2 linked regions of the Arabidopsis thaliana genome follow. The protein of the gene in region 2 binds, or shares a complex with, the protein of the main gene of each other region. Each region holds a gene or a part of one and is shown on either strand. Other genes may lie near its edges. The genes, in order: RAC10 and KINESIN-13A.

Region 1 (4,644 bases), on a different chromosome or scaffold from region 2:
AGGAACTACATAACGATTTACATGTTCTAGAGAGAAAACTGTACCGAAGAATCGATTCACCTTCAGATTCATAAGAATGGTTCAAAATTCATAAGACCAAAAGAAACAGCAAATTAAAGAAAACAATAAAAGAAGGGACCGATAGGAACAAAGAGGGAGAAAACACGTGACCTGGCAAGGGACTTCCATTACGTGGGTCGGCTCGTTTCGGATGTGGCCCATATATTGAGTTGTCGGGCCCGTTGCATTTGTTTGTTGAGTTCATATGATATATTCGAAAAAACTTTTACTTTTTCAATATTAACCCAACTTCAAATCCAATAACCATATTTCTTACTGCCAAAACTCGGATTTGTGATCTTCAAGTCTTTTTCACTTTATGGATAATTTCCACTGTTAATCACGTTTTGCTTTTACGCGCATCAACTGTTGTGGAAATATATATTTATCGTTTGTTCTTGTTTCTTTTCAATGACGCTATCCTTACACCAGCACGACATATGCTCCTGTTACATGTCTTCCTTAGAGACCAAAAGTTATGGATTCACTTGTACACACATACACATATATTGATTTAGTTTAATGTGATTACTAGTCTCCTTTTGCGATTTTCGTTCTTACTAGTCTCTATATTTATCTGGTTTAGGCCATACTTTTGTCATTGTATTGTATTATTAATCAGCTACTTTAATTTGTACTTGTATTTTGGAGCTTTTGGTGGAAATAACTTGCAAAATACTAAAATATTGGACCAGAGAGCGATAAGTTCCCGTGGTCGTCCTTTTGAAGACCTCTCTAGTTAACAATACTTTTGCATTTTCATATTTATGGTGGTTGCGTCGCCGTCGATATAGTCGTAGGTATTACTCCAATAATTAACTTACCTTATAAAATAAAATCATTTATCTTCTGCTTTTGGTAGATGTTCACACAGTTTGGCTCCAACATCCACCTATAAATGATTATTTAAACACATGACAAAAACACTTTTACTTTCTAAACCATGAGTCTGCAATTATATCCATAAACAAACAAAAAGGAACTATTTGGTAAGAGTATTCAATTTTTAATAACTGTATTAAAAGTTGCTTTGTGAATATTGAGAATTTTTATTGCTGGTTGTTGCCAACGAAACTCTTGTTGGCAATTTTAAATATCTTGAGTAAATTAAATTAGATGATAAGTTTTTTTAAAAGTAGGTCCACATAAAAAAATCCATATATCCTAATATAATAAATGAATATCCTAAACTAAAATTACAATTTTAGAATTATCAGTTTTACACTTGTGAATTGTGATATAAGTAATGTTGAAAGGTTGGTCTTAGTGATTTTGCTATAAATTTTTGTTGCTATGATATTCTATTATTTTATATATTTTGTAACCCTAGCTTGTAAGTTATGCTATATACATTATATGATATGTAAGTCTCGAGAGAAAAACAAAAATAGCAAAACATGTATTCGACAGTACATGTTAATGTATACAAATATGGTATATCCATCTTCACTTGTCACTGTGTGGCTCAACGTGACACTATTATTAACTTGACGAATATCTACCTTCTCTTATAATTCGATTCGTAACGCCATACTTGTATGTAATACACATTATTTCATTTTCTTACAATCCAATACAAGTGTAATAAACACTTAAAAAAAAAAAAACAAGATTGAACCACCAAGATTTGGTTAACAAATTCCAATGCAAATTTGCTCGTTGGAGTAATAAATGAACTACAAGAATTTGGAAAAGGAAAGCTTGGACGATGGATCATGTGAGTCATCACCGCTCTTTCTCTATCTTCAAGTTCAAACCAAAAACAAGCCACCAAATACCAATAAACAATTTCGTTTATCTAATTGGAAATATTGAAAAAACAAACAGAAAAAAGTAAAAAAGGAACAGAAAAAAAAGCCATAAATTTATGCAACAAACCCTACCTTCTTCTATGCTCTAAAGAGGGTTTATTTATCTTTTACTCCTCTTTTTAAGTAATCTCACTTCATTTATCTCTCTCTCTCTCTCTATTTCTTTTGCTTCCTTTTGGTATTTGCTTTGTATGTTTGTTTTGAGATCAAAATGGCTTCAAGTGCTTCAAAGTTCATCAAGTGTGTGACTGTTGGTGATGGTGCTGTTGGTAAAACCTGTATGCTCATCTGCTACACCAGCAATAAATTCCCCACTGTAAGTTCTCTTTAAAAAGACCTCTCTTTCTCTCTTGAATTTTGATCAGGAATCTCATCTGGATTTATCAGATTTAGCTCAAATTTTACAAAATTTTAATCAATTTCAGTATCTGGGTCTACTAAATTTCAGCTTCTTATTGCCATAAAGGTTCTTAGAATCTATCTGGGTATGTCAAAGTTAGCTCCTTTTTCCTAGGAACTGTGCATGATATAAGATCCATTTTTGGAGATTTTGATTTTTTTTACTTTTCATAAGTATGTGTGGCGCATCTGGGTTTTTGCAGCTTTTGTGTATAGTCCAGCTTTATGTTATCTTTTTTCATTTAACATCCTCTGGAGTCTGGATTCGTCAGACTTTTTCTTCATTGCTATTATTATTATTATTATATGTATATATGCTTGATTTGATGATTGAAAGTTTGAAACTGTGTATTGATTTGATGAATTGTTTGTAACAGGACTACATACCAACAGTTTTTGACAACTTTAGTGCAAATGTTGTTGTTGAAGGCACCACTGTCAATTTGGGGCTTTGGGACACTGCTGGTATGAACACTCTTTCTGAGTCTTGAATCCTATAGTGGTTTATAACATTCTTATTGGTCTAGTTCTTTCATTTGGTTGATAAATGAGATCCATTGAATAGCTTTGTCTCATATGAGGTTACATATGTATATCCTTTGTTTGCAGGGCAAGAAGACTATAACAGATTAAGGCCTTTAAGTTACAGGGGAGCAGATGTTTTCGTCTTGTCTTTCTCATTAGTCAGCCGAGCTAGCTACGAGAATGTTTTTAAAAAGGTCTGATTGAATAAATGATCCTTTTCTCTAATTGTTGAAAACGATAAGACTCTTATAGTGTCAGAATGAGTCATTTCTAATGTTATATGACTGTTCTTATTGAGTCAGTGGATCCCTGAACTCCAACACTTTGCTCCAGGAGTTCCCCTTGTCCTTGTTGGTACCAAATTAGGTAAGAATAACCGATGAGCATTTACCAACAGATTCCTCTTAACCGTTTAGTTACAATTCATAGCTAATGATTCTTACAACACTGGTGTAGATCTTCGTGAAGATAAGCATTATTTGGCTGATCATCCTGGACTATCCCCTGTAACTACTGCACAGGTTTAGTCTTAAAGAGCCTTTTTACTTTAGATTTCATATAATTCCACTATAAGGCTTGATGGTATTAACTAAATGAACATTTCTATCTGATAGGGAGAGGAGTTGCGTAAGCTAATTGGTGCGACGTATTACATTGAGTGTAGTTCAAAAACTCAACAGGTATATGAGGCAGCTTCTTTATGTTACTCTTTTCTTCGGATTAACAAAGCGATGAAGTTTATATATTGCAGAATGTGAAAGCAGTTTTTGATTCTGCGATAAAGGAAGTGATCAAACCTCTGGTTAAACAAAAGGAGAAGACTAAGAAGAAGAAGAAGCAAAAGTCGAATCACGGCTGTTTATCGTGAGTATATATACAAATCTTTACAAACTCTGCATCTACAATCTTATGAAGGGTACTGATTTCACCTTTGTGTTTATTTTGTATGTGCAGAAATGTTCTGTGTGGGAGGATAGTGACTCGGCATTGATGACGATGACCCAACTCAGTCTGATGATTTTAAACTCCACTTTTGAGATTGTGTGATAAACGAGAGACTTTATATTATATAGATTGAATCATGTAAGAGATTATTAGCCTCTAATCAATCAATAGTTACCTTGAAGAGAGAAAGAGGGGGAGGTAGAGAGCTTATTATTAATTCAATTGTGTTTATTTGTTTCAAACCTGTTATTGCAATATATTAGCCATTTTGATACAACAGAGAAGCTCTCTCTTCCTTCGCTTAACCCTGTGAAGACAAGCAGTTATTGTCCTACATTAGCAATCAAGTAATTTTATTTTGTTTGTTAATGTTGATCTCTTGTCGTTACATTGTCCAGTGTCAGTCAAATCACTGTCCTCAAAGTACAACTGACCAAACTTTGTCTCTCTTGACATAGACATTAAAACTTTCTACATAAGAGTCTCATATTTCAGTAGTCGCAGGCTAATTCCAGTCGGTTCCAATGACACATTGTCTTCAAGATTTTGAGACAGCAGTTCCAAAGGTTTTTTTATCTTCCACCTGACCAAAAAAAGGAGATTAAGCCATAAAAAGATGGAAGCGACGAACTCAGTCGAAGACTTTCCGATGAGACTCGAGTACACGAGAAACGACCACTGGACTCACCAGACCAGTCCCAAAGGCAAATAAATAACGGAGTAAAAAAAAAAAAAAAAACGCCGAGTTTCATCTAAACATAATAGAACAAATGTCAATGGGTCCGAGAGAGCCTGTAAGAGCATAAATGGGCTTTAATCGGGCCAAATTAAATGTAACTCTTTCTGTTGTTGTTTTTCCGGTGTACCTCTCTCTGTTTTTTTTTTAGCTCTTTTTGGAAAAAGC
Region 2 (8,192 bases):
AAAATCACGAAACACTGCACCAACCAAATTTTGTATCCTCGTTACTTTTAAATCCACAAGACACTAAATTAAATGGGAGTGAAACTAATATTTTCCAAATCGTAGGTATATTTTGCTCATAGGAATTCAGAAAATACAAAGAAGAATCTATTGATATTGAGGAGAAAAAGTGATGGCGAGAATCTAACCTGGTTAGAGAAGGCAAAAGTCTGGAAAGAAAAAAAAACAACTTCATGCGCTTTTTTTGTATTTGTATAAATCGCCTTTTACTCGCCTGCGACAGTGCGACTACGACGGGAAGGAGAAGGAGATAAGCGACTTTCATGGACGGTTTAAATCGGTTTGGGTTTTAACATCGGACGGTGGAAAATGGCTCTTATATTGCAATCGTGAAAAAGGCATGTCACGTGATCAATAGTAAAGTGTGGGCCAAGGCCTTTTTAGTTGGGCTGCATAATCTTGTTGGCCATTTTATCTTTACGACAAGAGAGAATTGCTTTATTTGTTCTTTTGGAGCTATTCAACTGTCTTTTCATTGGTTGTCACTATATAGATGGTATTTGAAGATCTTATTAATTGTTAGAAATTTGATTTTATATATGGCTCACCAAATTTTGAAACATTTTCAGATGATAAATGGTTTTATACTTTTTCAGTTGATTGATAAAAGAGTTTGATTCACATTGACAGTATCCAGCTTTCTGGGAGGATAGAGGAGAAGAGAAAAATAAGAAACACAAAAGGTATAACTTTATAATAAAGATTCAAAAATAAAAGGAAAGAAATGCCCAAATTCACAAACATGAAGGACATTTCTGTCATTCTTTGTCATATATAAGAAGAGATCACCCAACCAACCTTTCACACTTAAACAACACCACACTTTTGGTTTTCCTTCTTCTACCAACTACCGAGGAACTCTCTTACGGCTCAGTATTTCTTGTTCCTTGAGACGGTGTTGGAACCGAGCAAGCCTGGCTTGAAGACTGACTAGCCCTGCTGCTTTCCGGGACAACACAAAGCTCAGTTGCGTCACATAGTTTTCTATCATGCTTCCCGGTTGGTCCACCTCCGCTAGAAGTTTCATTTCCTGATAATGATATAACAGAAAAGAAAATTGAATGATGTGATAACATTCTACAATCGTTTTTTGTGCGCTGCAATGATGTGATTTACATACCTCGCGAACAATCTCCATTGTATCCTCAATTTCTTTTCTGTGCGCTGCAATCAGAGCTTCTTCTTCCTGAAAAAAGTCATGTGATGGTTACGATAAGACATAAACAGAACTACCGTTACTTGCAAATCAAATTCACAGCTTCATCTCATGTTTTAAAGGGATAGGTGAGTACTTTACCTCAAGCAGTGCATCGAGGTTTTCATCAAGCGAAGGGTCGGTTTCATATTGCCTTGAAGCGGTTTCATATTGCCTTGAAGCAGTTTCACTTGCGTTCTGTCTAAAATTTGTCAAGGTAGGGATATCCGACGAACTGACATCTCTTTTAGACCAATTTTGTGGTCTGTCTGGTTTTTCTTCCCGCAACCCTTTCCCACGAGGTGGTGACACTTTCTTTACTTTCTCTTCACGGTCTGAAGTTTCTTGGGGATATGAAGAAATGTTGTTTCTCTGACTAGTGGAGCCAGCAAAAGAACTGTTCGGCTCTGATCTTCCCTTGTCCATTGAGAATGATGGGATTCCACTTTCCTCTCGATAATTTGTAGGCTGTCTGAAGTCAATACCCGACGTACTGCTGTTGCTGTCCTTCTCGACCACCCTCCTCCTGGTTTCTGGTACATTCACTTCCTGTGGAGGCTCAAAGACATCTTCTACATCATTTGGGCCCAACAAAGGATCCTTATTAACCGGAGGCATTGAATTCGCAGTTTGATCTTTCTTGCTATTTCCACTTTTAGATAGACTTTTGACTCTGTTTATTCCATACATAACCAACAGAGGTTAATAGACGATGAAATTGAGAATTTGTTTCACAAGAGGCTATAGTTTGTACAAAACATACCGATCAGCATATCTTAGAGTATTGAGGGTATGTTCACACGATCCTGCATTTGGAGAGATGCAGGAAATCATCACCGTTCTTGAGTTTCCAACAAATGAGTCACGGAGCACTTCCGTTAGTTTGCTTCCACGAAATGGTATATGTAGCTGGTCATTGTCCAGTGCACGTATACATTCCTTAAGAGCCAAGAGACTCTTGTTGATTTCTGCGCCTTCAATCCTAAGAAAAATCCACAATGAAAACAATGAAGCATTTAGATCTGAAGTGTGGTGGTCCTAAAGTAAAAAGGTAGCAGCAAAGTGCCACTTTATCAATGCCCACAAGTCCAACAGAGGCATAAATTTTAATCTACACATTAGTGGTAGGTCAATTCTCAAACTACTCAATCACAGGGGCAAAGAGAATCTTTACCTTGTCTGGCGATCATTGTCTGTGGTGTCTGCACCTCTTTCACTGCCAGCAAGGTCAATGAAAGAAATCTTTCCCACAACTTTCCCAGGCAATTCATTACTATCATTATTCCTCCGTCTAGTGTCTTTTACCTCAACATGCTTTTTTACAACAAGCTGTAGGATGGCATGCGATCTAGAAGATTCCTCATTTGCTCCAGTTGAACCTGTGCTCCTTTCGGCATTTCCTTTCTCGATAAAATCCTTTACAATTTGTACATCTGAAACTTCATATTCTTGCAGGCCAACAATGCAAACTTGCTGTCTACCATCTTCTCGCATGCAAAGTTTCCTACTCGGCAATAACTGAATGATTTAGACAATGGTAAACATGCATTTGCGATAGTAGTAGACAACAATGGAAAGTATTGACACTGATAGGATGAATAAGTGCCAATGTTTACGATATACTGACATCGAAATAACAATTATAAGCTAGTATATGCCTGAACAAAGTATATGCCAAAAGAAAAGGAAAACATAAAACCCCTCAACAAAGACGACATTTATAAGAAATGAGAAAAAGAAAGAACACTAACTTTCTCTCACTGAGAAGATCGAACAGCTTTCCACCATATATCTCAAAATAGCTGAGCCACAATTTAAACCTCTGATTGCTGTATACTGGTTGACGCAACAACCTCATAAGATCTTCAACTGCTCGTATAGGTAATGGTTTCATTGTAAATGTCTTACCACTACCTGAATAAGCAAAACATCATTAGGGCCATGAAAGCATGAAGAAACTATTAATCTATTATCCTCTAAAAACTGGAATCTGTTAGCAAGAGTATAACTATCAGTGTATTTCCCAATGAACATTAATGTCATTGCATACCTGTTTGGCCATATGCAAAGCATGTAGCTTTAGTTCTCTGGAAAATAATGGGAATTATTGGCTCAATTGTGGCCCGATACACCTATTCAAGGAAACAAACAAACATGTTCAAAGCAGCATAAAGCTTCTGTATATATAAAAAGCTTAATGTATCCATACATCAATCCAATCTGGATTGGGGGAAACCACATGCTATGATCTAGTTAATAGGTCAATCAGGTATGTCGACCTTGACATAAATCATAAATCTACCAAAGCTCAAGGTTGCATCACGGACACCTAATAGGATTTTCTATGGTTTCCAATAAGCTCAATTCTTAACTTACCTCGTCATTTGAAACATCCTCATCTAGAACAGCATCAAAGCAGAACTCATGCTTTTCCACATAAGCAGTCAAATCAACCTGCACCAACAAGATTACGGTTCATTCAATATTCGAAAAGACAATATTAAATGAAAAGAATATATGACCTTTAATAGCAGGATGCCATCGTTCAGTTGTTCAACTGAATCATGTTTGCCATTGTTATCTATGATGAAGAATGCACACAAACCTTCACTCTGGGCTCATGGACAGTCAAAGAATTATCAGATACCGTCACGACATCCTCCTCCTTTTTAGCTGTTTCTTTCTTGTTTAGGGGTCTTTTCCTTACCTATAGACAAAAAAAAAAGTGGTTTCCCAATCATCCCTAGTCATAATGAACGTTGCTTATAAAACAATCAAGTAGTAAGGAAACATGTCAGTTCTCAAGTGAATGACCTACCACTACTTTAATCTTGGCTACACTGTTATTTTCTTTATCACTTTTAGGCAATAAACCCAAAGGTTCAGCTTCTGTCTGTTGCCGCTGTTGACGATTAGCTGCCAAATTATAGTCTTCTTCAAATTCTTTATTTACACTAGGCATGAAAGGTGACGGCTCAAAGGGTTCGGTAATCACATGCTGCAAAATGAAAGGAAAGTCACGTATCATAAAAGTTGGTAACTTTCACATGGATAATCGCTTTCTTTATGAACTAGCAAATGCAACAAGCAGTTATTTAGCTCAGATGCTTTTCTAATGACAACAAGACCAAAACTGTCACATCTCGCTAAATCCATTCGAGTGTCAAGATCAGAAGTTGCCTACAGAAGTCTCGCAGATAGATTACATGTGCACAAAGCCAATGGATTAGGTGGGACTCAATATGGCAATGTAAGATTGGCAAGAACAGTTTGAAAACTGGGATGTAACACAAGAACAGACAATCTGATGATGAAAATTTATGATCTTTCTGTTATCCATGGGCACTAATGAGTAACTATGAATAAGTCTTTGCACTAGTTCTTCTTCCAAGCATACCTCAGATAGAAGCTCTGTATCATCCATTGCATGAAGATCCAATAATCCTGCTCCAAAATCACCTCTGAACTCAGGTGAAAAAAATCCTTCCGAAGAGGGCATAGCTGCTGATGTGTGAGCAGTTGGTGTATATGATTCAGAAGTCGACTCCCCATTAAAATTGAGATTTCTCATTAGTTGGAACAGTCTTTGTTTCTCTTCAGCAGTCTGAGCTCCATAACCCTAGCAGATACCGCAAACACCACAAAGGATGCTTCAAATATCAGAACCCGTTCATGCGAATTATACAAGAGCCAAGGCAAAAGTTTCTATAGAAATTTACCAATCGAAGAAGAAATCACTAACAACCCTGCAGCAAACATCTAACTTAATCACATTACATAAATGGCCAAACAAATTCCAAGCTCTCCTTGAGATACGTTATGACTAATATCCATAACAGGGAGAAACAATCCTACATTCCTAATTTCCTACTGCAGCGTTTTTAGTAGTCTAACACCAAATGTGCGCAGGAATTAGCGACCGAAAACTCTAACAAAACTTGGCTATCTGCGTCTAATACAAAATTTGCATACTTTACCAAGCTAGGGCAAACTCCATCAAGAAAACTAAAGGGCATGCAAAATATTGGAAGAGTACAGAAACAAAGAATCAGGGAAAGCAATTACCTGCATGAGAAGGTTTGGGAGGTGACGCTGATCATTGCCTGTAGAAGCAACAGGAGACGCCAAATGCTGCAAACCAGCGGATTGAAGCCACCGTGCCATGACTGCATCTCCTGCGTCATTAGTGGGTAAAGCCCCATCGTAAAGCGCCGTCGCAGCCGCAGCATTGTTTTGCTGCATTTGGCCGCCCATGAGGCGCTGTGATCTTCTTTGAGGAGCCAACTTCGGAGATCTGTAAAAACAACTCTTCATCCATACAAAAACCAGAATCACCCATTTGTTACAAATCAAAAAATTCCTAATTTCAACAATAGAATGTTAGATTCAAATCGAAGAGAAACTCACAATGTGGAGAGAATTCGGATTCAACACAGAACATGAAAGCGGAAATGTACAGCTCCCGACTTTGCTTCACCTCCTTCAAAATCTGAAATTCAATCAATAAATTGCATCCAATAATCGGAGAAGAAGATCGATGTTATCCAAAGTAATGATTACCAGAAGGAAACGAAGACACGCAACGGTGTTAGATAAGAGATCTGAGATCTGAGATTTTCACAATATACAATCAGATCCGACGAGTGAAGAACCCTAATTTACGCACATCGAATAGCGTTAGAGATAGAGAGATAGAGAGATAGAGAGAGAGAGCTTCTGTTCAAAATTTTCGTCTTCTTCCGTAAGCGACGTTAGGCGCAGAGAGATGAGAAAGAGAGGGGCGTTGAAGAAGATTTGACAAAGTATAAGACACTTACACAATAAATTAAAAAGTTTGAGGTGTTTAAAAGTTTTTTAAAAAAGTGACAGTTAGATCACCCTTTAACTTCAGAAATATTCACCGATTTGTCCTACTTTTTAAGATTGTACAGTCTAGTCCAAAACATTTGAAACAATCTTCTTTGAACGGTCTTATATATTCTAAAAGATAGTGTTGAAATATTATTTTTTTGCTGAGATCGTGACACAAGGACATATACCAACATGGTGACATAAAAATAGAATTGATGTTCTCATCTTGAATCATACGGTATGAATCTCATACCTTTTTGAGCAGATTGCATAAACATTGATTGGTTTATTATATATGTAGTATAACTAATAATATAACCTTGGTGGGTTGATCAGTTATGTGCATTTTCAGATTTTAGCTACTTTATGGTATTTAAGGATGTTGTTTTGGACCATCTATGGTAATAGAGATGAAATTTGAAATTGTCCGAGGAAGATGACATGAGTTTTTCTCGACATGAAATCCACAACTTTTGGAATTTTAGTACATGACAATGATCTAATCTTATATATTCTTATGTTTGTTTAAATTTTTATACGGTTTCAAATTTTGAATTGTTTAGATGTGCGAATATAAGTGAGTGTATATCAAAAGTACCAATCTTGTGTATGTATGTGTACTGTTTAAACCCCAAAAAAAAGTGTTAATCCAATAAAATATACGAACGAGAATATGCAAAAGTAGCGAAGTGGGGCTAATACAGCTTGTGGGTTCCTTTCTTTTGAATCAAAAAGCTTTTGCTTTAGCCTAAAGCATTCCGATCTAAAGGATTCCTGATTTTAAGTAATCACTATATAAACCAGTATGAAAGGAGCTTTTCCTTTATTTATCCTTCCTAAAAACATTGGTCTCTCTAGTTTTGTGTAAGTTTAGATGATCTACCTCCTTTGTATGGCTACGTCAATATAGTCATATAGATAGAAGTTGATACTACTTGTTACATAAGAAATGTTTAAATAGTGTAGGCTAAAAGCCTAAAACGAAAGGAACAACAAAGTTTGAAGAAATAATGACGATAAATACATAAGATACAAGAGAGTTGGAGCAACGTCAAACCGACCAAGACCAAATCACGTTTCCTTTTACGTGAGACACAAATACGTACCAACGCATTTTGGTTGCCCTCTCATCCATACGGACACCACACATACATAAATAAATAGTTCGAATAATAAAACCAACAAACTAAAAGAATAGTAAAGCATAGGATAGGTTGTGTTGTTTGTCAAAGTAAAAGAATACACATAATACATTATTATTACGGCCACATTGTGATTTGTCTCACAACTAAAACCAAGATGACAGAACTCTAGTTAGTATCGATTCCGCACGTGAGATAGAAATCCTTGATAAGGAGCAGAACATGCCTATGATGATGTCTCAAGACATCATGTCTGTACGAAACTTTTTCTTTTTAAAGGGATAAAACACCATTAGACTAAAGTCAAAAGAATCATTCTACAGCATATTCCATGATTTAAAGTTACTAACAGTTAGAGTAACCCACTCGTTTATTCACGTCCATAAGATCTGAATCCAAAATTATTAGACATCTACTATAAACATGCCTCGAGATTCGGGAGTTTAATTTAGAAAAGCAAAGCTGAAGAGATATCACACCAAATAACACAAAAAGTAACGACCAAAATTCAACTAATTGTAAATGATAAACCGTTTTTTGCGGAATAAATAACTTGAGAATCTTCCAACACAGAAAACAAGAAGAGAGAAAAGTAAACTGGCAGGTAATTTTAATAGGGGACGACGACGAAACACAGGACAATATAAAGAAACATAAACTTAGAGAGTCGCTGCGACCGACCACAGTAACCCAACGAGAGCTTCTCTCTCAGCACTTGACCTCCTTCAAACCATGAGCGAAGTACAAAAATGTTGGGTTAGTTGAACCCTCCTTGTAGTAAGCAAAGACCAAAGTGCTGTCATCATGCATACCCTCCCCAACAAAGCTGTAAAATCAGACAACACAAGCATTGATGAGATTTCAGATGAAATATATGTCATGTATAACAAGCAAGATACGATAGATTGGGGTAACTTACAATTGGAAGTCACTGAGCCTGGGGA

What was found.
Region 1: KINESIN-13A (region 2) and RAC10 share a complex: the UniProt entries of both Arabidopsis thaliana proteins name them as parts of the active ARAC10-IRC5-KIN13A complex.

What each region holds. Positions count from the first base shown.
Region 1 is NC_003076.8:25,235,154-25,239,797, forward strand, and holds RAC10 (RAC-like 10), read left to right. Parts: upstream 1-1,809; 5' UTR 1,810-2,082; coding exon 2,083-2,187; intron 2,188-2,647; coding exon 2,648-2,735; intron 2,736-2,879; coding exon 2,880-2,989; intron 2,990-3,097; coding exon 3,098-3,161; intron 3,162-3,251; coding exon 3,252-3,316; intron 3,317-3,409; coding exon 3,410-3,475; coding exon of another isoform or gene 3,476-3,546; coding exon 3,547-3,659; intron 3,660-3,749; coding exon 3,750-3,786; 3' UTR 3,787-4,109; downstream 4,110-4,644. UniProt on the Arabidopsis thaliana protein: Involved in local disassembly of cortical microtubules when associated with ICR5 and KIN13A.
Region 2 is NC_003074.8:5,661,753-5,669,944, forward strand, and holds KINESIN-13A (P-loop containing nucleoside triphosphate hydrolases superfamily protein), read right to left. Parts: upstream 6,200-8,192; 5' UTR 5,816-6,199; intron 5,745-5,815; 5' UTR 5,663-5,744; intron 5,564-5,662; 5' UTR 5,510-5,563; coding exon 5,321-5,509; intron 4,875-5,320; coding exon 4,653-4,874; intron 4,254-4,652; coding exon 4,074-4,253; intron 3,963-4,073; coding exon 3,861-3,962; intron 3,710-3,860; coding exon 3,632-3,709; intron 3,388-3,631; coding exon 3,306-3,387; intron 3,170-3,305; coding exon 3,007-3,169; intron 2,760-3,006; coding exon 2,430-2,759; intron 2,238-2,429; coding exon 2,019-2,237; intron 1,929-2,018; coding exon 1,358-1,928; intron 1,247-1,357; coding exon 1,181-1,246; intron 1,091-1,180; coding exon 908-1,090; 3' UTR 623-907; downstream 1-622. Other genes in the region: TCTP (translationally controlled tumor protein), read right to left, coding at 7,957-8,074, 8,168-8,192. UniProt on the Arabidopsis thaliana protein: Internal motor kinesin involved in trichome morphogenesis. Participates in regulating the formation of Golgi-associated vesicles.